Arabidopsis thaliana: one gene and its partners. The protein of the gene in region 1 interacts with the protein of each later gene in a biochemical or structural test. Each region holds a gene or a part of one and is shown in the gene's direction. Other genes may lie near its edges.

Region 1 (8,521 bases):
GGCTTGAGAAACGTCTTCGTTTGACCATAAATCTCGGTTAAATGTATTACAAGGAAACTCAGTTTCGGATTGGATATGAACAAGCAACCATAGATCTTTGCTAGAAGAAGCTAGTTTCGCGTCTTCGAACGAACCATTAAAAAGCAGATTTAGAGGAGGAGGAGGAGACAAGGAAGGCAATCTAGTAGAGTCGGAAGGTTTTAGTGTCAAAGTTTGATTATTTCTCATTCTGTCGATGGCAAATAAGAGATTGATGGCATCTTCAAGCTTCCAATTTGTAGACTTTAGACACTTTATAGCGGTTTCCACAGTTTGATCTACAGAGATATTGAGGAAAGCTGAGACCAGTGTTCTCTGATAGTTACTCTCCATTGTTTTGCCGTTCAAAGAGAAAGAGAGAACAAATTTGTATGAGTTTTAATCTTTTGTTTTGTACGTCTTTGCTTCTATTTCTTTGTTTATATAGAGAACTTGATAGTATTGTTTTTCTTCCTTTTTTCACTCCAATTTGGTTCGAGAAAAAATCGGAAATTTCCTTATCACTTTTTTGTTTTGTTTATAATAACTTTATCGTTTTTTACTTAAACTTTATCGGTCTATGCCTATAAAATAATTCAATGAACTTTTTTTTAAATCACGCTAAACTTTTTACAATTGGAATTTTTTTTAGTTACATATTGATAAATATTAGGATTCATCCCGCGGTACACGGCAAGCGTAGGTTTTTATTCGGTTTCCATATTATATTAGAATGTATTATTTGTTATTTAACAAAAAATATAAATTTTTATTGTTGTTGATTAAATATTAATTAGTAGAAGTAATTATTAATGGGGTTTTCTAAAAAATGTTAAATATGAGTATTATTTGTTTTAAATTTGTTAATTTGCAAAAAATCCTAGGATATATTAACTTGAATATCTTCTTGATTAAATTTGTGAAACATTCATTTTGATTAATTAATTTCTTTTCTTTTGATTAATTAGTTTTTTAAAAGGAAAAATGTTATTGAAAGAAATCTTAAAGTTAAATGACTTTCTCAAATCAATTACTATTGGTAGCAGAGGGGGAGAACCAATCAAGCCCTAATTCCTTTAGAAAACCCTTTTAACAATCAAAATAGTATTGGTCAAACAATATTTCTGCATTAATTAGTTTTTTCATATTTAGCAAAAAAGAATTAATTAAAAAATTCATCCCTATTCGACTTCACTTTCTCTCTCTGCCTGAAAATTTTGATCGGTTTCTGGTTTCTCGGCGAAAGAAGTAAAGTGGCCGACAAATAGTGATCTCGTGAAGGAATCAGTGTGTACAGTGGAAGAAGATGATACATTTGGCTGGATTTACATGTTGCTTAGGCGGCGTCGCTCTTTATCTTCTTACCAGGAGCACAGGCAGGTTAGGTTTTTTTTCTTGTCTTTACTATTTACGAATTACGATAACTAGGGTTTACTGTTATTCGGTGGTAATGTTCTTCTTTCGTGGGACAGAGATATCAAATCAATCACTAGGGTTTACCAACTCAAGGATTTGGGTAATGTTCCTGCATTGTTCTGCATTTCAATTTTAGGTGGATGGGTTTTGGTTATGTGTTTGATATCATTCGTTTTTATTCAGAACAATTAGTAGAAGTAGAGAGCAAGGTGGTACCTTTGATCATCGCAGTATCAGGAGATGTTGGCTCTGAGACTCCTATTAAGTGTGAGCATAGTTATGTTCTCGGTGTATTTCTCAAGAGAACGGTATGTATGAATTGGATTAGATAATCTAGTTTTTCGTTTCTGTGATTTTGGATATGTTAAAAAGAAACGATTTTTTTCAGGCAGAACAACAGGTTTTGAGACGTAATTGGAGATTTTCATGGGTTCGAAATAGTACATTGATGCAGCCGATGACTAAGGAAGTCCCCTGGTATCTGGTATGTCTGTTGGACTTTGATTGGAGTGTATTACTTTCTAAAGTCATTTACAAAATATGATATTGGTTGCCTATAGGACGACGGGACAGGTCGTGTGAATGTAGATGTATCTCAAGGTGAATTAGGCTTGGCGTTGACGGTTGGTAGTGATGTATTTGAAAAGGCAGAGCCGGTATCGCTTGTTCAAGGAGCGTTGGGTTATCTTAAAGGCTTTAAGGTCTTTTCTTTTCCTTTCCTACCACTTTTCATTGATTTGCTTTTGTTTTGACAATGCTTATACATTGTGGCACCATTGTTGTCTATAGATACTTGGAGTAAGACACGTTGAGCGTGTTGTCCCAATTGGTACACCGCTTACAGTTGTTGGTGAGGTATGTCTTTTATCTGTTAGCGGTCCAAAATACGTTTTATATCTCTCTTTGTTATGTTGCTTACCATGTTAACAGGCTGTTAGGGATGGCATGGGGAATGTCAGGATTCAAAAACCTGAGCAAGGACCTTTCTACGTCACTTATATACCGCTAGATCAGCTCATCTCTAAATTGGGAGATTTGTCAAGGTTGTTTCTTTTCTCTGTTTTTGCCTATTCTTTTCTTCGAAAACTATGATTGAAAAAAATTCTAAAAGATCTCTTTCTTTTGGCAGGAGGTTCAAGTATGCCTCCATGGGTTTAACTGTTCTTGGTGTGATTCTTATTTCAAAGCCTGTGATTGAATATATTCTAAAGAGAATTGAAGATACTCTAGAAAGAAGGCGGCGACAATTCGCACTGAAAAGGTATGACGCACCCTAACCACAGCCACGTATGAAGTATTCATTGCGAGTTGCGAGTTGCGAGTTAAGTGTTGGGTAACTTGTTGCAGAGTTGTTGATGCAGCTGCTAGGAGAGCCAAACCAGTAACTGGAGGTAGTAATAGTATCTATCCATTAGAGTTTGTACTTTGTAGTAGTAACATGTGAATCCTTTTTCTGCATACACTTGGAATTGCTCTGCTTACAAAAACGTCTTACCAGGTGGTACAAGCAGAGATGGTGATACACCTGATCTCTGTGTGGTTTGCCTTGACCAGAAGTATAACACCGCTTTTGTTGAGTAAGTATAAGACCGCTTTTCTTCTAAAAGCTCTTGAAAACCCTCTCACTGATCAAACATGGCATCTTTTGATTCCTCTTTTTGTTTGGTTTGGACTTGTAGGTGTGGTCATATGTGCTGCTGCACACCATGCTCCTTGCAACTAAGGACCTGTCCTCTTTGCCGGGAACGAATACAACAAGTTTTGAAAATTTACCGCCATTGAAGGACAAAACTCAGAACGATTTTTACAAGCGAACAATTACTAGTCTTGTACATATAGTAAAGCCTTTGTATCATGAGTTTTTGACTAGAAATTTTTTTGCATTGATAGATTGTGATTGAACAAATGCTAATATAAATTTCAAGCTTAGATTTACATTTACTAATGAAGTTATATAATCACGTTTCGATGTTAAAATAAGAAGTGAAAAAACGTGAACGGCAGGATTCGAACCTGCGCGGGCAAAGCCCACATGATTTCTAGTCATGCCCGATAACCACTCCGGCACGTCCACTTTTTGTTAATTCCTCACTATCTTAAATATCTAATTACCGTTAATTATTACAAATCAGGTTGGGCTTAATTAAGCCCAAAGTTAAAGACAGATTAGTGAAGGAGACAGAGAAAGAAACAGCTCTAAAATGGTAATGAACGAGAAACTAGAGAGTCAACGGTCATAGCGTTGACCAAATCTCTCACTCTCACCAGCCAAATCTCTCCAACTTCCTCTTTCTCTCCACCCAAATCTCGCCGGCGATCGTCACTGACGAATCTGATTCGTCCCCAACACTCAACGGGTAAGCTCTCTCTGCAAAATTCAGATCGTTCTAGCTCAATCTCAACATCGGATCAAGATTCAACTTTTGTTCTTTTCTCTTAAACAAAGCTTTTGATCATTAGTGAAATCTAAAATATTAACCTTTGAATCTGTAAACTTAAGCTTAGAGAACCCTAAGATCAAAACTAAAAATTTGATCTTTCATTGTCACTTGTTGGAAGCAATTCAAAATTCTGTGTTGTGTATATTTTCAAATTTGTGGATTGTTCCAATTTCGATAAAGTTTTGATTTTTATTCCTTTTGTTGTGTGTTTTTATAAGGAGGTAGAAGAATGGCGACTCCTGTTGATCCACCTAATGGAATTAGGAATCAAGGGAAGCATTACTTCTCAATGTGGCAAACACTTTTCGAGATCGATACCAAATACGTGCCTATCAAACCGATAGGCCGAGGCGCGTACGGTGTGGTTTGCTCTTCGGTTAACAGAGAGAGTAATGAGAGAGTGGCGATCAAGAAGATCCACAATGTGTTTGAGAATAGGATTGATGCGTTGAGGACTCTTAGGGAGCTCAAGCTTCTACGTCATCTTCGACATGAGAATGTGGTTGCTCTTAAAGATGTAATGATGGCTAATCATAAGAGAAGCTTTAAGGATGTTTATCTTGTTTATGAGCTTATGGATACTGATCTTCATCAGATTATTAAGTCTTCTCAAGTTCTAAGTAATGACCATTGCCAATACTTCTTGTTCCAGGTATGTGATTTGTTTGCATTTGCTTTTACCATTAGTGTGTGTTGTTTGCATTTGGTGTTTGCATTTACTTGCTTTTTATTTCTTTTGCATAGTTGCTTCGAGGGCTCAAGTATATTCATTCAGCAAACATTCTCCATCGGGATCTGAAACCCGGTAACCTCCTTGTGAATGCAAACTGCGACTTAAAGATATGTGACTTTGGGCTAGCGAGGACGAGCAACACCAAAGGTCAGTTCATGACTGAATATGTTGTGACTAGATGGTACCGAGCACCAGAGCTACTCCTCTGTTGTGACAACTATGGAACCTCCATTGATGTCTGGTCAGTCGGTTGCATATTCGCCGAGCTTCTTGGAAGAAAACCAGTATTCCCGGGAACAGAATGTCTAAACCAGATTAAACTCATCATTAACATTTTGGGTAGCCAGAGAGAGGAAGATCTCGAGTTTATAGATAACCCAAAAGCCAAAAGATACATAGAATCACTCCCTTACTCACCAGGGATATCATTCTCTCGTCTTTACCCGGGTGCAAATGTTTTAGCCATTGATCTGCTTCAGAAAATGCTCGTTCTTGACCCTTCGAAAAGGATTAGTGTCACGGAAGCGCTTCAACATCCTTACATGGCGCCTTTATATGACCCGAGTGCAAATCCTCCTGCTCAAGTTCCTATTGATCTCGATGTAGATGAAGACGAGGATTTGGGAGCAGAGATGATAAGAGAATTAATGTGGAAGGAAATGATTCATTATCATCCAGAAGCTGCTACCATAAACAACAATGAGGTCTCTGAGTTTTGAGATCAAGTCTTTTGCAGGTACTGTTCAGAGAGATCTTTCAACAACTTAAACTTATTTATTTTCATGTTTGCTTCTTGAAATGTTGTTAATAATAGTGTCGAAGAAGAAGAACAATAACTTTAAATTATGTGATATGTTTGTGTCATGGAGCTTTGTTTTGTTTTTGGTTACAAGCTTAAGTGTCTGTAACGTTTGTACATAAGTGTATGTGTCCTTAAAACTTCATACTCTGTCTCTGATCTTATTGTTGGTGATTTTTCTTATTGAAGATTTTCGAATGTTCAAAGAGCAAACCATTGGATTAAATATGATTTTGAAGATAAATGTATTAACACAAAGATATACACTGTTTAAAAAAATTCATGAAATAAAACATATGCATAGAATATCAAAATAAAATTATTTGGGAAATAATTTTCAATGATACATAGAATGTTCCATAGATTCGTAGAATTTTTATAAATGTGTTTTTGACTTTCATGTACCTAATTCTGAATTCAGACTTAGTATATTGTGACATTAATAGAAGTATTAATTGCTTTGTTTGATAAAAATATTTTGATGTCTATCACACACTTAAATTTAACTTAAATGATAGAAAAAATGTCAATAATTAGTAACATTTATGCTTTGGAAAAATATTTTGATGAACAGCGTGTGAATAAGAATCTTTTTTTACTTTTGTAAATGGAAAAATGTAGGACTGCACTAATTATTGAAACCATTGATGTGAAAAAAAAATCAAGAGCCAAAGAGATAAAGATTCTAGAAGACCAAGTCAAGTCTTCTCGTCGATTAATAGTCAATGAATGTTCCTCATCATCATCTCTTTGATTTATGCGTTTGATGTCATTGAGTCATTTCTATACCATTCCGCCAAAAATTCGTTTTAGTTATCCATATGAAATTGCGGTTGGACTATTAAGTCTATAATTTGATTAAACTAATAAGCATATGATGATGAAGCAGTTTATACTTGTAAATCCTCTATTTTATCCAAAACTTATGATCAAATGATAGAACTAGGATGCAATGTTCAATCTCCTTTGGAGGGACCAAAATCTGCCACAAGACACACCACTTGCTTGGTATTTAATTTTCCTTTTTATCTTTCCATCTTCTCCTTTAGGATACAGGGGATGTCTCATGAAATGATGTATAGTTTATAAAATTATCTCTAAAGTCTAAACACAGAGTGGCAAACCGAAAATATTATATAAAACACGTAGTATCGAGCAAAACAACACTTAATTGTGTCACATGTGACATGTGCATACATAATAATACAGAAAACTTAACTAATAAAGCCACCAACATTATGTGAACAATGGTATCAAGCTTTCGAGCTAAGTTAACGAACCTAACTCGTGATTAAATAATGATTATTACTAAATTCAGGGAAAACACTTTTATAAACAAAAATATAATTTGCAAAAATATTATAACTTGCTTTACCCGATGGTAATTTCTGTTTACAAACCTGTATATTTCTAAATGCCCTTCCTATAATACACACACATACACATCAAATTAGTTGCCATGCACACATCAAATAAATTGCCAAAAACATCAATATCTATACATTAAATCATAAATACTTGGAAAACTCCAACTAGCTTTTGGTTATAAAATTACTAAATATAGTTTAAAATAATACATCCGTCGTGGAAATTTATGAAAGATAGACTTCTTTTTTAGCTTATGCCCCAAGGAAGTCAATCAATAAGACCAACGTTATCAACATACGTGATCGATGATGTTCTTTTATTCCTGGAAACTTCTTATAATCACCCACACAAAAACAAAAAAAAAAACAAAATATTAAATACAAAATTCTGAGATCTTGACATTTTGACCAAGTTGTAACGCTTCATCATCTGATCCGGTCAAATTCTTAAATCCTTTTTCTATAGTATTACAATAAAGAAAATATTATTGTCGCGTGAAATCTTTTAAAATATTAATACAAATCACGTCTATTAATAACAAGGTCGTCACTCTTGTCTCCAAAACAAATCTTCATTAACCAAAACCAAAAAAAAAAACTTGAAACTCTCTGAATCTCACAAGAACATTGCAAGGTAAAGAAACCACAAGATCATCACTCGAAGTAAAAATGGTGAGCCCATTTAGATCTCCATGTTCTTCACCCAAAAAATCAAGAAAAGCAAGCAAGAACCCTTATTCAAATCGTGGACTTGATAAATTCTCTGAGCTTCTCTCCGAGCTAGACGAGAAGAGGCAAAGCATCTACTCGAAGAAGCTCGATTCCGGTGGCCCGCCTCTTGTTCGATTTGTGTTCACAAGCTCCGGTGAGTGTGTCCCCGTTGTGATCAGATCATCTTATCTTCACAAGAAGAACAAGAAGACGAAAGATGTTGTAGCTGATAAAGTCAAAACAGAAGTCAAGGAAGCAAAAACAGAGGAAATCAAGAACACAGAGCCTGAAACAGAGCAAAAACAGAGCTGTGTTATAAACGAGAATCTGAAGAAGATCGCTAGACCGGATCATTTCTTGCCTGTGACTGTGATCTTGGTTCTTGTGTTTTTGGCTTTCTTTGGAAGATCTGTAGCGATTATGTTTACTTGTATCGCTTGGTACTTGGTTCCAACGATTCAAGAACAGAGTGGAAACAGAGGATCATCACCGTCTTACGCGATGAAGAAGAAAGATTTCGCTAGGAAATTGAGTATTGAAAACAGAACATCGTTTAATCCAAGAACTGTTCGTGATCATTCTCCTCGCAAGTAGAAGAAGTTTCTTATTTTGGCTGCTCGTGAAAAAAACCGCGTGACCGAGCGAAAACTTTTTTTCTTTGTCAAAAGTTTTTTGGTCTCTTATTTCTTCGTTACTTTTTGTTTTATTCTCTGTTTCGTTCATAGTTGTTAAATTTAGAGACAGCTGAATTAGCAGAAAATTGTGTAGCTTTTTTATATTGTTAGTTTTTTTTTAATGTTTATAGATGTATATAATGCAATTGGAGATGTTCTTGATTACATATGATCTATTGCAACCATATAAAATTTGAGCAGAATCAACTTATATTACAAAATCCCAACTTTTACTTTTTATTTTGGGGGTTTTGCCCTATGTTTTGTTTTAGGTTTCTTAATTGTTGTGTTATGGAAGCCTAGCGACAATGGTATGATATTCGTCGAGGGCTATTAACGTTAAAGTAAGTATTTTGGTCGTT
Region 2 (8,804 bases), on another chromosome or scaffold:
ACAAAAATGTAGCCTAATCAATATCTTTTTTCTAGGTCTCCATGGACACTATACGTACACTCGAGTGCTGAGGGAACAAGCAAACACGATGGCATCGTCTGTGTATCGTACTTAGAGGAAAAGCTGCATGCATGTATTCTCTTTTTTTTCCCTCAACAGCATTTTTTCACATACAAATAGATCTATATATATATATATACATATATATCTTACTATTTTTTTTTTTATCTTACTATTAAAAAAAAAAAGCAGAAAATTCTTAAAGAAAAGAAAGTGCTGAATGTTGATGATACTTAAAATACAATTGACATATTGTAAAACGAAATGAAAAGCTACATGAAAATATGATAATATATATATATATATATATATATATATATACATTTTTAACACATTTTGGCAAAAAATTCATTTGGCTTATGCATTTATTGTAATTCTCTTGACATTAAATGATTTGTGTCTGTATTATATATTTTCGAAGTCCAACAAACTACGATTTACAAATACTTAAAACTGTTATTTTCCAGGTCCATATGGACTTTTACATATAGATCCACTACTTTCGTCATTAGATAAGCCCAATTACAACAAAAACGTTGGCAACACTCTCACATTACTATTCTTCATTTGTTTTATATATTTGGTAAGACAATCATTAATGCTTTCACAAAATTGCAAAATTTTCTGACTAAATTTATTCCATAAAATTCATTCCAAATTCATTCCAGTAAAATTGAAATTTTTAAACAATAATATTATTACAAAAAAATGCTGTTTAATTTCACATGATAGAGTTATATGGTAGAACGGTTTGGATTGATATTATGGAATATATACCACGCGTAAAATCTTAAAATTAAATATAAAAATATATTTCTATAATCCTAAACTTTAAACAATATTATATTAGTCCACGATTATAAATGTTTACCAAAATTAGTACTATATCACTTTTACAATAAATTATTATATAAAATACATAAAATAAAAATATTGCCCCGCGGTTAAATCCTAGTAGAATAGAGGAGAAACATACTATTTTCCCACTAATTAAGTTACCAAAAAATCTATTCAAACATTTCTCAATTGGAGACTACAACCATGGAAATTCTCCCCGTTCAACCTCTTATCCTAGGCTTTTCTTATATAAGACCACACCTAGGATGCTTAGTTTTCACACCACAAAGAAAAAAACAATTCCAAGTGATCCTTAGCCATGGCTCGGAAAAAAGTACGAGCTGCATGGATCCGTGACGATAGGATGAGGAGGGCAAGCCTCAAGAGGAGGTTAACGGGGCTTATCAAAAAAGTGAATGAACTGTCCATTCTGTGCGATATGCGCGCTAGTGTGGTCGTTTTCAATCGAGAAGAAGAACAATTGACGGCGTGGCCATCTCCCGAGGCAGCTAATTCACTCATCGACAACTTTTATTCTCTAACCGACCATGAAAGGACCATGAAGGCCGTTGATCCGGAGTCATACGTCCAGACCGTTATCGAAAAGATTGAGAAGAAACGAGCCGATACTCGGAAGGTTATCACGGAGTTTGAGATGGACGAACTCATGTTCCAAGTCCAAAATGGTCGTGAACTTGCTGATCTCTCCCCAACCGAGGCTGATAAACTAATACCATATGCGGATAAGAAACTTATGTGGTTGAGTAAACGGATGGGTTCTACGGGGGTCGACGCCCTGAGGGCTTCGAATGTTGCGTCTGGGTCAGGTGGAAATGGGTTAAACATGATGGAAACTGGAAGAAGTTTCTATTATGTTGATAAATGGGTCTTCGTTGATCCACAAGTCCAAAACCCTTGTGATGTTGAGACTCATTTACCCACAATGGTCAGTGGCTTAGACCTAAACATGGAACCATCTGATGAAGACTTGGGGACCTATAAAGGAGAGAGCAGCATGGCCGGTGGTGCTGAAGACGATGCCGAATGAAGCTGCCGTCAAAGTTGACATGACAACTTGTCTTGAAGTTTTCTTGAAATAATTAATGTTGTTCTTTTTCTATTATTGTTGTTTTTCTTGCTCGTTTCGTATCTCTAGTTTTTCTATGTTTTGGTCAAGTTTTTATCATGTCTCTTGTTATGTGTTAAACTCTTGTATTTGCTTGTCATGTCAACTTAATTTTAATCGAATGTTTGTTTCTTTACTATTCTTTGCAGTTTTGAAGAACTCATCCGTATTTAACAAATTTGTGCAAAATGTTAGGGCATTTTTTTTTAACTTTTCCTAATTTTTCTAGAGCATCGTATTTTAATAAGATAATCATTGTCATGCTATGCACGTAAATTATTAGAGATATTATCATTCTCATGCATCGTACATAGTTTTGTTCATTTTTGGACGCATTTTGAAACTTAAAATGAAACATCTATATGCTACGTTTTATTATCTATTTATGGTCAACACTTATATTTTCCTTAATATAATCAATTCATTTGTTCTCCTATAACAAATTATTTTAATTACTATGGACTTGTATCCTATTAATTTGTGTTAGTGTTTTTATTGTATTATTACCCATTCAACCCCCAAAATTGCAAGTTGTTTGCAAGAGAAATTATTCTCATTTTAACGACTAAGTCGCTTGGCTCATGCACCTTAATTCAATTGCATTCAAAAATAAGAAACTTTAATGTGAAAAATGTTTAAACTTTAGAAGCTAATGAATATATTTACTTATTATTTTCTTTGTTTGACCTCTCTTTATTATCAATTAAAGTAATAAGTTTGACTATCTCTAAATAATGAAATGTTATGATATCATAAAAGGAATGCATGACCCAAATGTAGGAATAAGAATTTATGGGGCATGCATATCTAGTTTTCTATATAAACCAATATACATATCATAAAAATAATTAAAAGGAAATATCTTAATTACTGTATTTAAGAAGTAAAAGAAAAGAAATCTTGGTGTATTTTTTAAGAAATAAAAGGAAAGATATCATTTTATTTTCTTTGACAGCTCATCAGGTTATTTTCTCAAAAGGGCAGATGATAAAGTTAGGATAAGTGTCAAAGAATACTTATGTTAAATTTAGAAGGAATGATATCATATATAGGATATTTTCCTCAAATTGATGAGTGTTGAAATGAGGTTCATTTGATGGGCCGATTTAATCCGACCTAAGTAACTACCCAATTGAGTTGGGTATGTAGCTATGATGGGCCGATTCAAATATGGCTCAGAGGCACTAGCACTAGTAGTAGCATAGTTGTTGTAGAAAAATAGGGCTTAAAATGGGCCTTCATTAATGAGCTTATTATGTCGGTCCATCTGAAAGGAGTTTTTTTTTTTTTTTTTTTGTGTTTCAACTTTTTTCTCAGAATGTTGTCAACCAATCAGAGTATTCAAACGGTAGAAGCCATACTCATAACAGAGTAAAATATATTGTTTGGCTAAAGAAACATCGGTGAACACTCAAATTTAATCAGAAGGGAACAAAAAACAAACTTGACGACAAAGCAGTACTAGTAGTACTGTTACTTGATGGAGATGATTATGAATGAAGTGGGATCATTGCAGCTTGTGGAGAGAGCACGTCAAGCCAACGCTACAGTTAACTAGAGCAATAATTCTGTCTCTTTTATTTTTATGTCACCTACTACTACTAAAGAAAACATTTTCTAATAAATATTATAAAACAAAAAATACTCGCATGAAAGTTGAAGGTGATTGGTTGATGAAGCTATTGTTGTTTCCATTACACTTGTTCACTCATCTCTTTCTCTCTCCTTCTCTCTGCGGATCTTTGTTTCTAATTTGGAACCGACATAGCTCCCAACTAATAGGAATCTCAAGCTTCTCACTCTCTCTTGTGTAAGTTTCTTCTACTTATGTTTTCTTTACTCCATTTTGGATTCTTCTTCTCTTTATTGTGTCCTCGAGTATCTATTGTGGATCTTGTCTAGCATTTTTCACATTAATGTTTCGTTTGACGATTTGATTTTTGGGTCTACTTTTATAGTTTCTCCCAAATTTTCTTTCTTTAGACAACAAAGTCTGTTTCTTGACTGTGAACTTGAGATGGGTTCGTGTGCTTTGCTTTTAAAACTAAAGTCTAAAAATTCTTTCCTTGTTAAGAGTTTTTACACAACTAAGAGAAGTCTTTTAGTTGTTGACTTTTTTTTTTAGCTTGTTCAACAGATATTTTGTGGCTCTCTTTCAGTTTTCCATTGGACTTTTGGAACATAAGCTATGCAAACTGAGGAGCTTTTGTCGCCACCACAGACTCCTTGGTGGAATGCTTTTGGATCTCAGCCGTTGACTACAGAGAGCCTTTCCGGCGAAGCTTCTGATTCATTCACCGGAGTTAAGGCAGTTACTACGGAGGCAGAACAAGGTGTGGTGGATAAACAAACTTCTACAACTCTCTTCACTTTCTCACCTGGTAAACTCTCTCAACTTTCATATGTAATGGGAGCTTTCGGATTGTTCTTACTGAATTCTCTAAGTGGGTATCAATTAGCCTTGAAAGAAGACATTACCTCTCTGTTTCTTGCACATTACAGAGTGAATGCAAATGTTTGAAGGTGATTTTATTTATGCTGTCATTGATTTAGGTGGTGAAAAGAGTTCAAGAGATGTGCCAAAGCCTCATGTTGCTTTCGCGATGCAATCAGCTTGCTTCGAGTTTGGATTTGCTCAGCCAATGGTAGAGTTCTCTTGCAGTGGAACATCACAAAGAAAAACTTTCATTTCCCTTTAATTGTTTTCTTGAGTATTTGCTGTGTTTTGTTTTCATTGTAGATGTACACAAAGCATCCTCATGTTGAACAATACTATGGAGTTGTTTCAGCATACGGATCTCAGAGGTCTTCGGGCCGAGTAATGATTCCACTGAAGATGGAGACAGAAGAAGATGGTACCATCTATGTGAACTCAAAGCAGTACCATGGAATTATCAGGCGACGCCAGTCCCGAGCAAAGGCTGAAAAACTGAGTAGATGCCGTAAGGTAACTTATTGAAACTATCTGATCATTTTTTCAGTTATGCATTCAAAAAATGTTGCCTTATGTTATGATGTTTCAGCCATATATGCATCACTCACGCCATCTCCATGCTATGCGCCGTCCTAGAGGATCTGGCGGGCGTTTCTTGAACACCAAGACAGCTGATGCGGCTAAGCAGTCTAAGCCGAGTAATTCTCAGAGTTCTGAAGTCTTTCATCCGGAAAATGAGACCATAAACTCATCGAGGGAAGCAAATGAGTCAAATCTCTCGGATTCTGCAGTTACAAGTATGGATTACTTTCTAAGTTCGTCGGCTTATTCTCCTGGTGGCATGGTCATGCCTATCAAGTGGAATGCAGCAGCAATGGATATTGGCTGCTGCAAACTTAATATATGATCAGCAGATAGGGGACAAGACATGATTTGGTTCACCAGTCTTTTGTCTTGTCCCTTATCTTTCAGCCAAACGGAAAGAGAACTTGTGTCTTGGAAAAAAGACATTGAGTTTCCTTGGTTTATAAGATTGGTCCTTTTACCATCCGTTTGGCTGTAAACAGGCAAATCATCTTTGGCTCATGCTTCATCAAGTTCTTATCTTCGTCTGTTTTCTTCTACGCATCTTCATAAGATCTCTGAACTAGTGAATAACATTTCCTAGCATCATGTTTCAACTAGTGTGTGTTGTAAGAAACTCTGCCTTATTTCCAGATGATGTATTGTGTGTAACGTGTTTATGAAACAAACGTAAGACTTTCAAGTTAATGTGGTTTTTATGTAACAAAGTTAAAAGACTTTATTTCCATTGTCTATTCTCATCCTGATACTGTGTAAGAAGAAGCTTGTGGTTTATGTAACAAAGTAAAAGCCAAACTTCAATAAAAAAAAAGAGCTAAAGCACATATTAAACAGATGTTTAAGATTAGAGAGACAAAAACTTGCCTCAGAACTAGCTGCCAATCCAGAACAAACTTAAAGTCAATTTAAAGATTAGTATTAAAGAGAAGTTTGAAAACCATTTCCCTGCATTCTCCCACCATGCACCTTCTGTTTCTCTTCTATTTGTTTGCTGGAATTTGGATCCCCCCAGCTGTTTTATCCTTCAAACTTGCCACGTTGTCCGGTAACGACTGCCCTGTGAAGTCAATGACTTGCCATTCATCATCGATGGTAGAGGAATCCTGAAAATGTATGACTGCCATGATTAGATACAAGTCAAGTTGAGAAACAAAAGACTCTAAGAATCAGAACATTAAACAATTACCGGATGTTGATCAGCAAGAACAGGTGATGACTCGTTTTTTAGAGGCAGTGGTAGTGGAGGAGACGTTTCAGGCGTATGTGGTGGTTGCATTTGTGTTGAAAGGTGTTGAGGTTGTGGGACGTTAGCAGAATAGTCTGCATCCTCCAAACGAGCAAAACAGTCAAGCAAATCAATCATATCAATATCCACTCCCTCCTCTCGCTTTTCCAATTGAAGACAACTGAGAAAACCATCAACAACGGTCGCCGTACAATCATCACTCTTGCTCAGCATTTTGGAAGGCATTAAAACCCTTGAATACGCAATAACAAGCCCATTGTAAAAACTGAACCTGCTATTATTAGTTGACTCCAAAAACTTAAACTGAGGGTTCCCAACCACTCTCTTCCTCAAACCCTGCACAAAATTCATCCCGTACCGCGCCATAAACTGTGCTGTGAGCTTAATAATACCAAGCTCCTTGAGTGTGATCTCCTTTTCAGGGAATTCAAATCCAAAACCGAAAGATCTCAGAACATTAGGTTGGATATCGTGAGCTCTATCTTGATTCTGAGCACGGTATTCTGCAAGCTTGAGCTGATAAAATGCGTGATAAGGGTCAGTGCTCCACACAAATCTGTGTCTTGCATCATTCATACTAAGTTCCATCATCTTTCTTTCAATCTCCAACCCATTTTTGGAAACAATAAGTGCAGTGTTCTCGACACAACTTCTGATTTCTGGAGGTGGCTCAATAGGTGCCACACTCGCAGGAGCTTTATTTGAATTGCTTTGACCCGATTGCAAATCATTCTGTGGCCTAGGAGGTGACATCATCCTCACTGGAGGAGAACATGAAGGTTGAGGAACTTGAAGTTGAGTAAACTGAGATCCCAGTTGAGGCATAATTAGCGGTGGTACTGTTGGCATCATTGGATGGTATTGTTCAGGTCGTGGTTGCAACACGCCACCGTCCACGTTAGCAAAAAACTCTAAAGCATGCAAATCAGTCAAAGCCATCTCCACTGCATCTTTCTTTTCAACAACTTGATCAAGAAGCTTGAGAAAACCAACAACAACTTCCCCCAAACCAGCACCATTCTTTCTGGAACGCCTTAACACTCTCGAATACCCATCAACAAGCCGCAAGTAAAAAGAGCACTTGCTATCAGTTGACTTAAAAAAGTCAAATTTAGGGCTTATAAACACTCTCTTCATCAATTCTGTCCGAAAAAGGGTCCCATAAACTGCCACAAACTGTGCTGTGAGCTTAATAGTATCAAGCTCATTGCGCGTGAACGTTACCCCTCTAGTAAGGAATGCAAACTTGACAGGAGCCGGAGCTCGTAAATCATTAATGGACATGTTAGCAAAGTATTCATAAGCATGCAAATCAGTCATAGCCATCTCCACGTCATCCTCATCCTTTACAGGCACTTGAGCAATAAGCTTGGAGAAACCATCAAAAACTTCACTCTTCGTCTTCAGCTTTTGGGAAGGCATTAACACACCCTGATACCCGAGAATAATCCGCGTGTAAAAACTGTTCCTACTGTCAGTTGGTTTCAAAAACTCAAACAGAGGACTCTCAACAACTCTCGTCGTCAGTTCCCTCTGAAAATACTTCCCATAAACAGCCACAAACTGCGCTGTGAGCTTGATAAGCTCAAGCTCCTTTCGCGTGAAAGTGATCCCTAGAGGAAGGTGTGAGAAGTTGACAGGTGGAGCCAGCAGAGGCATATCCAAGGATGGAGGCCAAAGATAGTCTTGTGCATCATGAGTAGCTGGAGTGTCAGGACTTAAGCTCCTGAATCTTGAATCATTCACAATTTTGGCCAAGTTCCTTATATTAACAAGACGCGTGCTTTCTGAATCCGCCCCAACTTGATTTGAATTGTTTTGCCTCGATCGCAAATCCTTGTGCATCGAAGTGTACATATTTTTTTTCTACAACCAGAGAAACATTAAAAATCAGATTCAGAGAGAAGGGACAACTACTGAGTGAGAGAGAGAGAGAGATTAGGAAAAACATATAAGAGGAATCGGAGAGAGATTAGAAACACCGTACCTCAGCCTGTGACTTGGAGACCTAAAGCTTGGAAACGAAGGAAGCGACGAAGAAGAAATCAACTGTGAGCCCTAGCCCCTAGGCTACCACTATTTATAACCAAACTCCTTTGGTGGTTTTCTAATGGGCCTTGATTGGGCTTATAATTGCGGTTCATAATAAATAATTTTATTATAATTTCTACGATTTAATCAATCACAACAACCCCAGTTACTCGGAAGTCAGAACTAAAACCGGAACAGCTATACTAAGAATAATTGGATTGGAATTTAAGAAGATCAGATCCAGCCACAAGGTTCTTCTTGTTAATAAACTTTAACCAATTTTAGATTCGAACTACAATTACAAACTTGAACATATATATTTATCTCCAATCAAGACATCTATCACCATCCAATCATTATCAAACTCACAACACCTTTGTAATTAAGCAAGAATAATCTTAGGACCAATCTCTTAATCATTGTCAAGGATTGGTCGTGTCAAGATCATCAAGATCTGATGCACTCTTTTTATGCTTCTTCTATGT
Region 3 (7,731 bases), on another chromosome or scaffold:
TTACAATTTGTAACTATTGATAAAATAGTTATATATATATATATACATGGCGTGTATACAAAATGCCAGTTCTTAGTTATTTTCTTTAATGATTCGATTTTTCAAAATTTTATATTATCGGAATAAAAACGCAAAAGCTTATGTAATTGAAGAAAGACCTTTTTGATAAGAAGAAGAAAATTCATAATTAATTGATGAAATAGTTAGTTACGCTTACTAGAAAATGACTCGTTCGCCAACTTATCTTTCCAAATTTATAAAAAGAGCATTAACTATGTTAAATCATTCATTCTAAGTTAAAATGAGCATTCACGTTTTCCAAAATCAAGTGTAATGGATTCGATTCCGGTTTAGAAACGAGATCAGAGTGAACCGGGAGTCAAAATGTCTAAATTTCTCGGTTTGAAATGGAAATAAAACGTAGTTACGTGTACCAACAACAAAAGTACACATGTCAATAATGATTGTAACTGCCTAGCGAGTGAAAGATCGAAGAAACGAATGACGTCATTTTTCACGTGGGTCCCACGCGCCGTTCCCTTAGAAAGTTAGTAACGCCTCTGTGCTTCCTCAATGTCTCCTCCACGCGTATGTTTTTCTTAAATGTGTAATAATCCTTCATTTTATTAGTAAAAAAAATTGAAGTTTGTTGTAATTTTTTTTATAAAATAAATACTGTTAAATAAATGAATGAAAAAAAAAATGTTAAGCTCTTGAACTTGAGTTTCGTATTCGAGTTTTAGATTTAGGTAAAAATATGGTTGACCAAAAAAATTGTGTTGGGCATGAATGCATAACAGCATGAGTCAAAAGACAATTCTTGCTATCATATTTATTTTTATTTTTTTAGTTTATTGATTAGTCATAAACATCGTCGAATTATATAATAGCGTAATAAATTAGAGATGAGATAGTGTAGGAGGTGGAAGTGACATGGTACCTCAAATCTTGGGGATATATGTACAGAAAGGGTCGACCATTTTCGATCAAACATAAACTATTTTAGTTCACTATATTTTCTCTTAGATTGTTTCTTGATATATATGATATATAGCTCATTATATAGTTAATTAAAAAAATAAAATATAATTAATCACTTCGCTTTTGTTGATGAAACTTTTTATTCCACTCGTGCAGTCAAACCCTAAATCTAACATTCTCGTCGAATTTGGTAAGGAATATATATAAGGATTGTATAAATTGATCTGTCTTACAAATTAATAGACGTAATTTAAAAATTATATATACACACATGCGTTGTTTAACCATATATTCAAATTGGGGGTTGATCCTATCATCCTACGACCCTATTATTCCTTTGAACTCTAAAATCCACTGGTCAATATCTACTAAAAAATATTATTAGAAAATTATACGGTGTCGCCTAAAAACAAGGCACAGCGATTGATTTAAGAGTTCAAGTGGAAGCTGATGATACAACTATACTACTAATCTTTTATTAAATATGCTTAATGTTTTCACAAATGTACGTAGCAATACAATCTAGTTAGGGTAACTTCACCTGGTTGGTCATTTATTCATAGCAACTACAACCTGTTTTTTCTTTTTCTTGGTAATATATCATCTGTAGGATTTATCGAAAAAAATCATATGTATCGGACAATATGGGTTACAATGAAACTTTTGATCAAAACATGTAGCGTTTTAGAATAAGTCATCAGGAACTGAAAACCTATAGCTAAGTTGAATATCTATTCGGAATAAATTGTTAAAGTTTCCATGGTTACACGTTAAGTAATTAAGGCCCAACGACTTAATCGATAAGTGGTTTGTCTCCCTATTGCATAAACTGACAAATGATTCCTTAAAAGTAGAAATGTTGCCTTGAATTAAATAGCTATTTGAAATTTTGTAAGTATATGTTTAACTAAACTATAAATTATATAAACACAATCCCAAAATTCTTGTAGCTTGTTTATGTAACCACAAACACAAAAACACACGCACACGCACACATATGAGTTCATTTTAAGTCCAATTGATGGAAAATGGCTAACTGGCAAGAAATCTTTTTTTTTCAATTTTTTTTGTCAAACACTAGCAAGAAATCAAGCATATGGAATTCATTACTTATTTTCTTAAAATTATAAAAGAAAACTTATGTTGTTTGATATAATAATTGGCCCCTTGTCGGATAATTTTCAGACAGTGGTTGCATTTCAGGCGTAAGGCAGTTTCGATCTATAGTTCTGGTCGCAAGTTCAAATTCGACAATATTTTGGTCAAATCACAAAATTCCTCATTATTTATTTCGACGTACATCATCAGAATGTATGGGCCTTTATAATGATAATGTAGAAAAATAGAAGTATGACGATGTACAACAGAAAGATTTGAAGAGATCATTTAAGTAAATTGTACTAATGATCAATATAAAATGTATATAGTGTGTAATATAATTGTTTTAAGAAAGAAGGAAATTTCTGCAAGTTCAAAATAAGAAACTTTGGGGCGTTAAACTAAAACATTTGAGAGTTAAGGGGCTTAAGGCTAATAGAGTAAGGGGAGATTCACGGATTAGTAGACAAGGAACCGAACGGCGCGATTCTCTTCTCCAACGCTCTCATTTCCTACTTACTCTCAATTAAGTTTATGAATATATTATGGATGCTGAATATTTTAAAAATATTTTTTACATTGAATTTAATATCTGAGAATCCTCAAACCTAATTAGATAAAAACAATGTCTTAAATCCAAGCAGAAGAAGAATAGTTGAGCATCGGATCACTTAACTATACATAGAAAACCTCAAACCACATTAGTAAGGTATATTTTAGATCAATATAAGGTAGTTCTATGTTTAGTTTGGGGCCACAAGTTCGACTATCATAATTCTCTCTCTATGTATACATATATCCGGTTAACTTATAGTCCATCCTTGAACATTTTCTAAAATCATTCGGTTAACGATAATTATTTTGGATTTCTGTTTTAAACCTGTCACAATGTATCTTTCACAATAAATTAATACATATAAATTTTAACTAAAAGAACTTTGGAATGATGTATTTTTTTTTTGTCTGGTTGGTAAAAATTCGTAGATAATTAGACTACTGATCATATTACGAGTAACCAAACCAATCAGATTCTAGTAATCTACGAAACATGTATAAATATATATTCAGTGCAATACAAATGTTAGACCATAGATGCAATAAAAGGGCTTGTTATAGGTTCACTATTAGAGAAGGGATGGTGAGGTAAGTGACTGGAATGCTTAGGTCCATGACTCCATGGGACAGTGAAGTCATAGAGGATGTAAGTCATACCACGTGTCTAGATCTTACGACGTGGCTTGTTTTGTGTATTGATCAACGTACTAGCGGTTGCTCCATCGATCTCAACCGTCGATTCTGTTGGCTTCTTTGACTGAAATTCTTTGAGAACAAAGATATTCCTCACTCTCGGAATTCAAGCGCGTGGTTTCAGTATTTTCTTGTACATTTTTTTAAAATGGTTGACAGAAATGGATTATAATTGAACAGTATTTCTTGATTGTTTTTTGTTAGGTGACTTTGGTTTATTTCAAAATTTGTTTTCCTAGGATTTAAAACCCTCATATACGTGTATGTAGAACCGGTTTATAGCTAGGTTTTGCTGATTTATTGAGCTATTTGTTACATACTAAAACATTATTACAATAATTTTAACAAAACCTTACTGCAATTTTAAATTATTCTTTGAAAAGATTTTTTATTTTACTTTTTTTGTTATAATCCGAAACTAAAACTAATTTACATAGTATAAATAAATAGAAACACTAAAAAGAGAAGACTGGATCGAGAGTGATTTATGTCGGGTGGAACAGAAACAAAAAGGAAGAAGAGGCAATAAAGAAGGTCAATAGATTGGATTTTCAAATCTCTCTGCACGTATACTAATCACTTTGACCGTGATTGTGACCGTGATTGTGATAGTGGAGAACGGAGAAGATAGATATTATTAAGCTGTCTTGTGTCACTTACTTACAAATGCTATAACTTATTGATACTTACATGGTTTTTGTGTTTGTGTGTGTTTCAGTGTCAATTATGCACCCGCTACGTACGTTTGTCGCAGTCCGGTTTAAACCAAACCCTCGTGATGATATGCTGTTATATATAGGGTTATGGTCTGAATCAGACATTTCATGATCTCTCCTTCCTACATTTTAAATGTCTATGAGTTCATGTGGGGATATCTATACACATATGACTTAATTCATATGCTGATATGCACTTATATAAACGTAAAGAAAGAGAGTGAGTGTGACAAGAGATGTGATAGCATGAAAAGAAATGTGCATGGGGAGGGGCCGCTAGGGCTAGAATACATGTACGTGATCTTTGAAAAAAATGCAAAGGGGTTCAGGGTTATGTGCATTTTGAGTTATTTAAATCGATCACACATGGTATGTGCATTTTGATATCGATCTTGATCATTGCGAATATATCTTTATAACATATATATTTCAGCTAATATACAATCTTGTGAATAATTGTCTTTCCTAGGCTTTGTATCGGTTTAATTTCCACACTAAATATATAGAACATGTTAGCAGAAGATCATTTATAACATCGAATTTTGGAACCCATATTAATTGTTCATACGAATTATATACATGAGTAGTATTCACGTAAAGCCCAATACATAAAAAAGATAGTATGAAATTAATAAATAAGCGGCCGATCAGTCAATAGCATACAGAAACTTACATTGACAGTCAAAACCCAAACACTTTTCATTTATTATAAGTGTTGAAATTAGTTCACTGAGTTAGCCTGATGTAAATAAACAAACCTCCTCCTTCTCTCAATACATCTCTCCCTCTCTTGCTCTCTCTCTTTACTTGAAGATGATGACCGGAAACTTGAACGGCGGTGGAAGAGGAGGAGAAGGACCATGCGGGGCTTGCAAGTTCTTGAGAAGAAAGTGTGTGAAAGGGTGCGTTTTCGCTCCTTATTTCGATGCAGAGCAAGGAACTGCGAGATTTGCAGCAGTTCACAAAGTATTTGGGGCCAGCAATGCCTCTAAGATGTTACTGAGATTGCCTCTGCACAAGAGACTTGATGCAGTCGTCACGCTCTGTTACGAGGCCATGGCAAGGATTCGTGATCCTGTCTATGGCTCTGTTGGCCATCTCTTCTCTCTTCAACACCAGGTTCTTCATCAAAACATCTTTTATAACACAACTGATTATATATACAGAGCAACTAATTAACAAGCAAGACTGTGTATACCTTAGGTGATGAATCTACAAGCAGAGCTTGCTCATGTTCAAGCTCGTCTTTCAACAATTCAGCGGTTTCCTCTACAGTCGCCACAACAAATGCAGCCACCGTCTTTTGATCCTGCGCATAACAATGAATATGCGATGGAACCGAGTAACTTGGATAGTGTGTGGGGGGAAGAACATTTACTTCAAGATGGAACTGGAGATGGGGATTTCCAAGAACTGGCGTCGCAGTTCGTCTCAAGGTATTTACCGGCGGTCAAACTTCCGGCTTGCACTTAGGTCAAACTACAAGTCAAGAATTTATGTATTATAGCAATGGAGAGTAGAAGCGAGGGAGGTGTCTCTGTTCCCAATAGTTGACCATTCCGCTTAAGATCATCTTAAGAGATATATAGCTAATTATGTATCAATGTATGCATGTTAAGAGTTAAAATTGGTTCTTGCATGAAGTGTTTCTTTGACAAAACAACAGATCATTGTAACAGAGCAAACTCGTTTTAAGAATTCAGTTACTGCAGATCCACCAGATAGGTATGCAAGATGGACAATGAAATGCTTATCGAGTAGGGAATATGTACTATGTTTCTTCCCGTGCACGGTATAATGAAACTAAGGAAGAATCATAAAAAGGTAATGCAGAAACACAACTTGTTTTAGGGGAATTCGCCAAGAGATTAGAAACAGAGTCTCAGAAGAGAGAAAGTTCACTAAAAACGAAGAGATTGAAAGTAACATGTCAATCTTTCTTATGAAATAACAGCAAACGCCATAAGCTCACTATGATAACAACTTCAATCCTAGATTAAAGGTATCAGTAGTCTCCATCGTCACATACTCACATATTTTTTGGATTCATCTAGAGGATATAAAAATATTTCGTAAAGTTTTCCAAAACGTTGATAAAGAAGGTTTTCATAATTACTTGTAAAAAAAATAAAAACATTTACAATATAACTCTTTGATTAATTTTACGGTAAAAGCCCTCATAAACCCTAAATTAAACCTCCCATCCCAAGGCACGAACACAATGACGACCGAAGAAGATATGAGGTCATCATCGAAGTCTCCGAAGTCGTTTTTGTCTTTACCCAACGACGTTGTTCTTAACTGTCTGTCTCGTGTCTCGAGAACTCATGATCCAATTCTATCTCTCGTATCCAAGAGTTTCCGATCACTCGTCGCTTCGCCGGATCTCGAAGCCGCACGATTCCGCTTCCTAAATACGGAGAGGTGCCTCTATGTCTGCTTAAAACTTAATAACAACCATAACCCTAGCTGGTTCATACTTTCCGAAACTCCCAAACATAAACTGATACCACTTCCTTCGTTTCCTTACCCACATCCCAATTGCTCAACTGTTGTCTTGTCTCTACTGGTTCAGAGATTTACATGCTTGGCGGATTCGACGCAAAGGGAAAGAGTAGCAGGAGAGCTTATGTTCTCGATTGTAAATTTCATCAATGGCGTCGACTCCCTAAAATGCTTATAGCTCGAAAAGGTGCAGCCGCTAATGTAATTGACGGTAAGATCTATGTGTACGTAGGATTCAGCAGCGTTTACAATAACGGCGTAAACGGGGGAGAGATTTACGACCCAAAGACTCAAACTTGGGAGCCATTTCCGCAAGGAGAAGAAGATTTCTCCAATAAAGAGGGTGTGACTCGATGTGCTTTTTGTTGGATTATTGAGAGAAAGAAGAAAAACAGAGTAAGAGAGACATATCTCTTCTCTTGTGAAGAAGACAAGAACAAAACTTTGTTTTATTGAAACTGAAACTTGTTAATCTTTACATGACGATACAAGGTGTTTATATAGAAAACAAATAGACACAACAACTCAATTAGTTCTGTCACTTCATACTTGTGTCTCTTTCTACTTGTGCCTCTTGAGTGAAACAACACAAACTTACAACCTTTAACTGAAAACTCAATTACCGACCAACACTCCCCCTTAATTGAGTTTCGGTCTTGCACTTAGCTTCCTTCTCAGTTTGTCACAAGTTGACCTTGTTTACTTCTTCTTCCCTTGCAAGTAAATCATTTGTGTTTTCTCCATCTCAATGGAAAAACTCTTATGCTTGATCTTAATATCCTGTATACTTCTTCCTTGAGGATAATTGATGAGACATCTGACACTAGAAACACCTCTTTGATGATCTTCTCTCCTTGGCTTGTCATCACTTGGATATTTCCCTTTTCCATGTCTCATCATTCATGATGATGATATTTCTTCAACTTGAGGTTCTTCACCACGTGCCTTGGCTTGTTACACACAAAGCACCTTCTTGTTGCAACTCGTATTTGACGTTGCACACTTTTGAGATTTCTCTTTCCCACAACGCTTCTCGTTTGTCACCTTCAAATTTTTTTTTTTTTCACGTGAGCTTTGTCACGTCATCTCCGGTTGTTCTCACAACCTTTTTTTCCACTCACTTTCTTTTAAATGAGATTACTTCTGATTTCCTTTTGGTGTCCTCTTGATCACCAAATCTGTG
Region 4 (7,662 bases), 2.9 Mb from region 1:
CTGTCAAAGTTAAATTACCGGCTAATGAGAAATTCCTAGGAATTGATTTCTACAAAAAAAAAAGTAGCTAAAAATGAAAAGCATTTTCAACAAGTTTTTGATTTGTTCGTGCATTTCTTATTTGTGTATAATCTATTTATCTTATATGGTTATGTTATGACTCTTTCTGGACGCAGAAGCTACGAACCCGTGTGATGAAAAAGAATTTGAATACAGAATGGAACGAAGACTTGACACTTTCTGTTACTGATCCAACTCTTCCTGTCAAGATCGTAAGTGATTTCGACATTACAACCAAATCAAACACGATACATTAGATTAGACCACAATATGGATTCTTTATATTTGGAAGTTTGAAACAAGACTTAACAAGAAAAATTGGTGTTTTTTTTTTGTTATAAACAGATGGTGTACGATAGGGACAGGTTCTCAAGGGATGATAAGATGGGAGATGCGATTTTTCACATTGATCCGTTCCTTGAAGCCATCAGAATCCAAAACCAACTAGGAGGACTACCTGAGGGGACTGTAATAATGAAGATACAGGCAAGCAGACAAAACTGCTTGTCAGAAGAGAGCAAGATTGTATGGCACAAAGGAAAGATTGTCCAGAACATGTTCCTTAAGCTTCAGAATGTTGAACGAGGGGAGATAGAGCTGCAGCTTGAGTGGATCGATGTCTCCGGCGCCTTGACTGATGATGCGGAGGATGTTGCTTTCTAGATCGACTCTATACTACAAGAAATTCCTGTGATGATACGGCGAAAACAATAACACAAACTGATGTAGTGATTTACTCAATTAATAATCTTAATGCACTAGCGATCTTATCGATGAAGCAATTAAGAGTAGAACCACAAGGACTAATTCACATTAAGAATGCACATAATTACTTAACTTAAGAACTAAATGTTGCATTGATTCAATAAACCGGTTGCAATAATTTATTTAAATATATATTTTAGTTTTAAAAATTAGTTATATAACAATTTATACAGAGTGATGAGGTCGTATATATTAAATATTATAAAAGTTACAATGCTCAGTCAAAATAAACTAAGAATTACATGGGTCTATAAAATAAAATCAAATATTACAATGATTCGTCGAATAACGATTACAACTTTATTTAAATAAATAAATATTTCTAAATTATATAAAAAGTTATACCGAAATACGCAACAGTAGATAATTAAAAGTTTATTAAATAAAAAAAATTACAACGGCTCATAAAACAAAATCAAAAGTTGCAATGATTCGTCCATATAGATCAAATGTTATAACAGTTCAATTAATCTGTTGCAATTTTATTTAAACATATTTTAGTAATCAAAAATAACCAGAAAATGAAAATATATAACTTTAGTTGAACATACATAACTTTTTAACAAAACATTATTATAACTTTTTAACTTTAGTTTCTTTTTTTTGTAATATTTTGAAGAAATGTTGCAATAGAAAGACAACCATGTAGAAGTACAAAACAGATTTATTGACATTGTTATTATTATACGTAATTAAAAAGAACGAAGAGTCTGGCTGCTAAGTGCAGTGAACCATTTCTCTTGTCTAAACAATAGCAAAACAAACTAATTTTTAGCAAATTCAGCATGAATTAAACGTGGATATAAAATATGGCAGTCACTGCACTCTCTATATAAAACCTCCAATAATTTGTGAAGGCTTCACACATGCCATATATATAAATTTTATAAAATTTGTGAGATAATTTTCTATTATCTTTGCTCCATGGGCGAATCACCCAAAGGGTTGAGAAAAGGTACATGGACTACTGAAGAAGATATTCTCTTGAGGCAATGCATTGATAAGTATGGAGAAGGCAAATGGCATCGAGTTCCTTTAAGAACTGGTATTTGTTTCATGCTTTTTAAGGTGGTTCATGAAAATACTATTTATATCGATTGGTGTGCATATATTCTTCATGATAAAGATAAAGGAGGTACAAAAGAAATCTAAGTAGGTATAGTAAATTCGACTTTTGGTTTTATAGGTCTCAATCGGTGCCGAAAGAGTTGTAGACTTAGATGGTTGAATTATTTGAAGCCAAGTATTAAGAGAGGAAAACTCTGCTCCGATGAAGTTGATCTTGTTCTTCGCCTTCATAAACTTCTAGGAAATAGGTATTGTTTTCTCGATAGTCAATACTATTTCTTTAGGGATCGCGGTTCAATACTAGAAACTCTCATGTATATTGTTTCACAATGTTTAGGTGGTCCTTGATCGCTGGTAGATTGCCTGGTCGGACTGCTAATGATGTCAAGAATTACTGGAACACTCATTTGAGTAAGAAGCACGATGAACGATGCTGTAAGACGAAGATGATAAACAAAAACATTACTTCTCATCCTACTTCATCGGCCCAAAAAATCGATGTTTTAAAGCCTCGGCCTCGATCCTTCTCCGATAAAAATAGTTGCAACGATGTCAATATCTTGCCAAAAGTTGACGTTGTTCCTTTACATCTTGGACTCAACAACAATTATGTTTGTGAAAGTAGTATTACATGTAACAAAGATGAGCAAAAAGATAAGCTTATTAATATTAATCTATTGGATGGAGATAATATGTGGTGGGAAAGTTTACTGGAGGCAGATGTGTTGGGTCCAGAAGCTACGGAAACAGCAAAGGGTGTGACCTTACCGCTTGACTTTGAGCAAATTTGGGCTCGGTTTGATGAAGAGACTTTAGAACTGAATTAGTGTTGCTCCCCATTTTTGTTTGCACGTGTGTATTTATGTTTCTGTGGATGTTTTTTATATTGCAATTTTTAAAAATTGTATTATTAAATTCATATCAAAGGTGGCAGCATTTGTTACAATATAACTTAACACGAATTCAAACCCGAGAAGATAACGTCTAATGGTTCATTAGGAGATAATATGAGAGTCGTTTCTACTTATATTGTGTTGTATGAGGTGATGCGATGAGAGTGAAGAAAGGGATGTTTCTACTTATGTTTTTTTTTGCTTTTTATTTACAAATTTATGGTCTTTTCTAAACCAACGTCAGAAAGTTCAATTCTCCAAAAAAACTACATGAATCGTAATTTTTTTTTATCTACAATACTACGTTTTAAATTGACCTAGATAATTAGGATCAGAGTAAGCTGCAATAAACTAAAAGAGAAAAAAGTAAGAAAAAAAAACTAAAAAAAGAAAGAAAGAAAAACAATTCTTCTTCTTCTCCGATGGAGACACACGTTCCTCCAACTCGAACAAATGGATGCATGCCTCAAAGTGGGTCCATTCAATCCGATCTGAAATTAAGCAGACTCAAAATTGGTCCGATTGATCTAAACCGAAATCAATTTTAATTATGATGAGATTTTGTCGAAATTAATAATTAGAAGGGTCATTGATTATTTTAAGGAGACATGTGAGCTATCTCGCACATTAAAATCAAGAAAGAACTTTGAGTGATATCATATGGATCAATATATTTATTATATCAATTGGTTTTGACTTTTCCTCTTAAAAGAAAACAACAACAGTTTTCTAACGCAAATAATGTTGATGTCCTTTGGATCCATGTCGGTTGCATAGTATACACTAAACATGCATTGGAAAAAAACAAAAATTCTTAAAACTTACCATTATCGTTGTTTTTATTAGCTTTGAATGATAAACTACTATCAAAACGATATATTTTTTTTGTATATTTTCGATATTTATCATTCACAATTTTTTTTATCAAAATCATTATAATATTTTTTATTTTTAGTTTTATTGTACAACTTTTTCGTATAACTATTTTTTACAGTTTTACATTGTTTCAAAATAACTTACAGTTTCAACTAATTTATGTTATCAATCAGATCTATTATTATTATATTCTATTATATATCAATTTAACACATGGGTTTTGGCAAACATAACCACCGGAGGATCGGAAAGGAACTTGTGATTGAATAGTGTTTTCTTATTAAAGGTTACACACATACAAGTGTGTAAGTCAGATTTTTCTAAAAGATTCATAAATTTAGCATTCTTTGAGAAAAAACTTAAACGTGAAACTTCCAAGTAAATTATTCTTCAGAAAATCTATAAAACTTTGTGTCAGTAAAGTGAAGTTTATTCCTTGAAATTCTCCCAAATCCATACTAGTCTCGTTCATCTGGTATTAATTACTATGACGTCGGTTGAAAAGAAAATATAAAATTCTAAAAATGTATGATAAATATCTATCACTTCAAAAGGAAATTTTCCTTACAGTGTATGATTATTTTTGTTCTGGAAAATCTTGAAAGAAATGACTTCACACCTTATAGCTTTTATGAAATTATGTCTCATGTGGAAAATTGTTTGTGGACGATGAGCATACACGTTGGTTTCACTTGAAAAGTTAAAAAAATTCTTACTATTTCCTTCAAAAATATTCTACAAAATATCAGCTAATCATCACCAGTGCTATCCTATATCATAAAATTACATAATTGGTGTGTTTTGCGCTAACAAAAAAGAATTAATATTATTTTAGTTTTTGTTAAAGGATATTCTGTCTTAGTTTTTATGTTATATCATACTTGTTTCACCAAAATCAAATTATATATTTTAATCATAATCTAGAATATATTATTTTAGAGGTATCTGGAATAAATCAAATTAGTTTTTATGTTATATCATACCTGCTACACACTATGACTTGTTGAATATTTTGTGATCAGGTCTTGGGTTACCTTTTTAGATATTGTAGAAATCTTCATGAAATATGTATGTTGTAGGAAGCCTGAATTTTGACCGTTATGTGGGTCAAGAGTTATGTACTAGATATTTTTTTACTAGATAAAAAAATTTCATGAAATATTTTTGTGACATAAATTCTTCAATTATTATTATTATTTTATTATTTTTTGGTCCTTCAATTATTTATAACAAGAAAATATTGATATAATATATTCTTAGTCCCCCTTGAGGTTTCTGAGGAGATGTGTTACAAAGAAATACTTTTATACTAAACAAACAGTATACACTAATAAGATGAAGATGAATTAAGGGTAAAGCGATCAAAAGATGAAGGCTAGAGTGGGGAAGTTCAATTCTGCTAAATGGAAAAAAAAAAATCACTTGATGAATATGTACATTAGTGTTAAGAATTCAAAGTTTGTGAGATCTGCAGTGGATAAAAACACTCCAATAATCTGTAAATGAAAGAAAAACAAGAGAAAAATAGCCTCCTCATATATATAGACCATCTGCCATCAATTCTCCTATTTTTTCATTTTTGCATGTTTTGAAGTACAGAAAAAGGATGAAGAGACAAGTTAGGTGTCTATGAACCATTTCTCTAGTCAAATCAGAAACCAAACAATAACTTAGCAAATAAAGCACGACATGTAAAACAGAAATGTGGATATTACACATGCACGTCACTTTCCTAAGCCCGTCACGTGTGTATATATTTCCGCTCAGATACTCACACTCTCTACTCCTCCAAGGATCTCTGAAGTCACAATATATACCTATCTCAATCCTTTTCTTATAGTTTGCTTAGATATCTATCTTTGGTCCATGGAGGGTTCGTCCAAAGGGTTGAGGAAAGGTGCATGGACTGCTGAAGAAGATAGTCTCTTGAGGCAGTGTATTGGTAAGTATGGAGAAGGCAAATGGCATCAAGTTCCTTTAAGAGCTGGTATGTATCTAAACACATAATCATGAAAATTTCTTTACACTGTTCATAAAATCATACTTAGACTTTGACTGGTTGTGTTGTATGCTCTATATTAGACTAATGATCAGACCAACATTTTGATATGTTAAATAGTAATATTTTGGTATGCATTTACTGTTCATTACGTATTAACATATATAGACCGGGGTTGGTCCGAAGTTGTTCCGGAATATATCGGAGTGAACGATGAAATAATATACAGACTCGTTAGATTTTGATCCGGTATTCAATATACCGACCAACTATTGGAAACTTTAATGTTGAACTTAGAGGAAGATTTTTTTTTTTTTTTTTTTTTAAAATGTTCTATGTTTATCTACGTTACATATTCTAAAAACAAAATGCGAACTTCCGAAAAGTCGTTTAATTCTACGATTGGTTTGTCTTCTAATTCATAAATGAATTTAGTGAAAGTTTTTATACGAACACGTGCGTATGTGTGTATAGTACATTGTTTCTATTGGTGTGCATAGATTCTTTATGATAAAATTATAGAAAGAGACAGCAATCTTCTTAGGTTTAACTAATGTCAATTATTGGTTTTGTAGGGCTAAATCGGTGCAGGAAAAGTTGTAGACTAAGATGGTTAAACTATTTGAAGCCAAGTATCAAGAGAGGAAAATTTAGTTCTGATGAAGTTGATCTTCTTCTTCGTCTTCATAAGCTTCTAGGAAATAGGTATAATTTACTTTATTCTACTTATTTAACGAGCAATAAGTCTAATACTAGTAACTCGTATGTATACGTAGGTGGTCCTTGATTGCTGGTCGATTACCTGGTCGGACCGCTAATGATGTCAAGAACTACTGGAACACCCATCTGAGTAAGAAGCATGAACCGTGTTGTAAAACTAAGATAAAAAGGATAAATATTATAACCCCTCCTAATACACCGGCCCAAAAAGTCGATATTTTTTAGCCTCGGCCTCGATTCTTCTCTATAAAAACCGGCTGCAACCATCTCGATGGACAGTCTGAAGTTGGTGTAATTCCTCCATGCCTTGGACTCGACAACGATAATGTTTGTGAAAATAGTATCACATGTAACAAAGATGATGAGAAAGATGATTTTGTGGATAATTTTATGGTTGGAGATAATATATGGTTGGAGCGTTTGCTAGACGAGGGCCAAGAGGTAGATGTGCTGGTTACAGAAGCGGCGGCAACAGAAAAGGAGGGCACTTTGGCGTTTGACGTTGAGCAACTTTGGAATTTGTTCGATGGAGAGACTGTGATCTTTGATTAGTGTTTATAAACGTTTGTGTTCTCTTGTTTGTGAGGTTTCTCTATTTAATTTAGTATCTATTTTCTAAATTAACTAATATCTTATAGTATTTTAGGCAAACCTTATGTTTCCGTTTCTGTGTGAGTTTACATTTTGTAAAAAATAAAAAAATAAGAATATATATATTTTGGAATTTTAGATTTTTATTTGAGATTATTTGCATTTGGAATTTTGGATTTTCATTACTTCATAAGTTTTGGACCAATGGTGTTGTACAATGTATATATCTTTTTGGCAATATACATGCCTAATTTTCTTAACAGCAACCGTTGAACTTGTATCATATATTAGTAACTACAGAGACATTAGATTTTGTAAGTATGCGCTATATAATAATAGATTCTTGTACGTGCATAGTGTTTTGCTATGGGCCAACCGGAGAACGGAAATGGACTTCTGATAGAGTGATTGATATATTGGTGTTTTATATTGAAAGGTCACACACTTACACATGTGTTACAAATTGTTTAAAAGATCTATCAAATTCCAATATGTTCAACGCCGTATATGCAAAATATAATAATCGAGTACATTCAATTCTGGCTTACTTTGATTTCGTGTTGGATCCAATGTTCAAAAAATTGTTAGAATGTAATTAGGTGTTCTGTAGGGACCTAACATGTCTAGAGCAATTTATAGGAGTCTAAACAAGGTCTAGTTAGAAAAATTGTTTAATTTTTTTTTTCTTTC

What was found.
Region 2: of the proteins of MPK2 (region 1) and NF-YA10, one has a biochemical effect on the other in vitro, tested with the Arabidopsis thaliana proteins (one large-scale study listed by BioGRID).
Region 3: of the proteins of MPK2 (region 1) and LBD19, one has a biochemical effect on the other in vitro, tested with the Arabidopsis thaliana proteins (one large-scale study listed by BioGRID).
Region 4: of the proteins of MPK2 (region 1) and MYB113, one has a biochemical effect on the other in vitro, tested with the Arabidopsis thaliana proteins (one large-scale study listed by BioGRID).

Annotation. Positions count from the first base shown.
Region 1 is NC_003070.9:21,880,417-21,888,937, forward strand, and holds MPK2 (mitogen-activated protein kinase homolog 2), read left to right. Parts: upstream 1-3,601; 5' UTR 3,602-3,791; intron 3,792-4,093; 5' UTR 4,094-4,104; coding exon 4,105-4,527; intron 4,528-4,619; coding exon 4,620-5,327; 3' UTR 5,328-5,635; downstream 5,636-8,521. Other genes in the region: AT1G59550 (UBX domain-containing protein), read right to left, coding at 1-372; ZCF61 (E3 Ubiquitin ligase family protein), read left to right, coding at 1,325-1,398, 1,491-1,534, 1,618-1,742, 1,823-1,918, 1,995-2,135, 2,224-2,289, 2,365-2,477, 2,564-2,695 and 3 more; ZCF37, read left to right, coding at 7,444-8,079.
Region 2 is NC_003076.8:1,981,228-1,990,031, forward strand, and holds NF-YA10 (nuclear factor Y, subunit A10), read left to right. Parts: upstream 1-3,595; 5' UTR 3,596-3,833; intron 3,834-3,874; exon of another isoform or gene 3,875-4,182; 5' UTR 4,183-4,211; coding exon 4,212-4,404; exon of another isoform or gene 4,405-4,530; coding exon of another isoform or gene 4,531-4,576; coding exon 4,577-4,668; exon of another isoform or gene 4,669-4,763; coding exon 4,764-4,970; intron 4,971-5,046; coding exon 5,047-5,364; 3' UTR 5,365-5,837; downstream 5,838-8,804. Other genes in the region: AGL96 (AGAMOUS-like 96), read left to right, coding at 1,217-1,945; AT5G06520 (SWAP (Suppressor-of-White-APricot)/surp domain-containing protein), read right to left, coding at 6,023-6,145, 6,229-8,145.
Region 3 is NC_003071.7:18,710,234-18,717,964, reverse strand, and holds LBD19 (LOB domain-containing protein 19), read left to right. Parts: upstream 1-4,753; 5' UTR 4,754-4,856; coding exon 4,857-5,162; intron 5,163-5,246; coding exon 5,247-5,516; 3' UTR 5,517-5,745; downstream 5,746-7,731. Other genes in the region: AT2G45406 (Galactose oxidase/kelch repeat superfamily protein), read left to right, coding at 6,627-7,004; AT2G45405 (uncharacterized protein), read right to left, coding at 7,248-7,448.
Region 4 is NC_003070.9:24,751,885-24,759,546, forward strand, and holds MYB113 (myb domain protein 113), read left to right. Parts: upstream 1-1,704; 5' UTR 1,705-1,749; coding exon 1,750-1,870; intron 1,871-2,011; coding exon 2,012-2,141; intron 2,142-2,230; coding exon 2,231-2,720; 3' UTR 2,721-2,877; downstream 2,878-7,662. Other genes in the region: AT1G66360 (Calcium-dependent lipid-binding (CaLB domain) family protein), read left to right, coding at 177-272, 406-723; MYB114 (myb domain protein 114), read left to right, coding at 5,529-5,649, 6,237-6,366, 6,438-6,606. UniProt on the Arabidopsis thaliana protein: Transcription activator, when associated with BHLH002/EGL3/MYC146, BHLH012/MYC1, or BHLH042/TT8.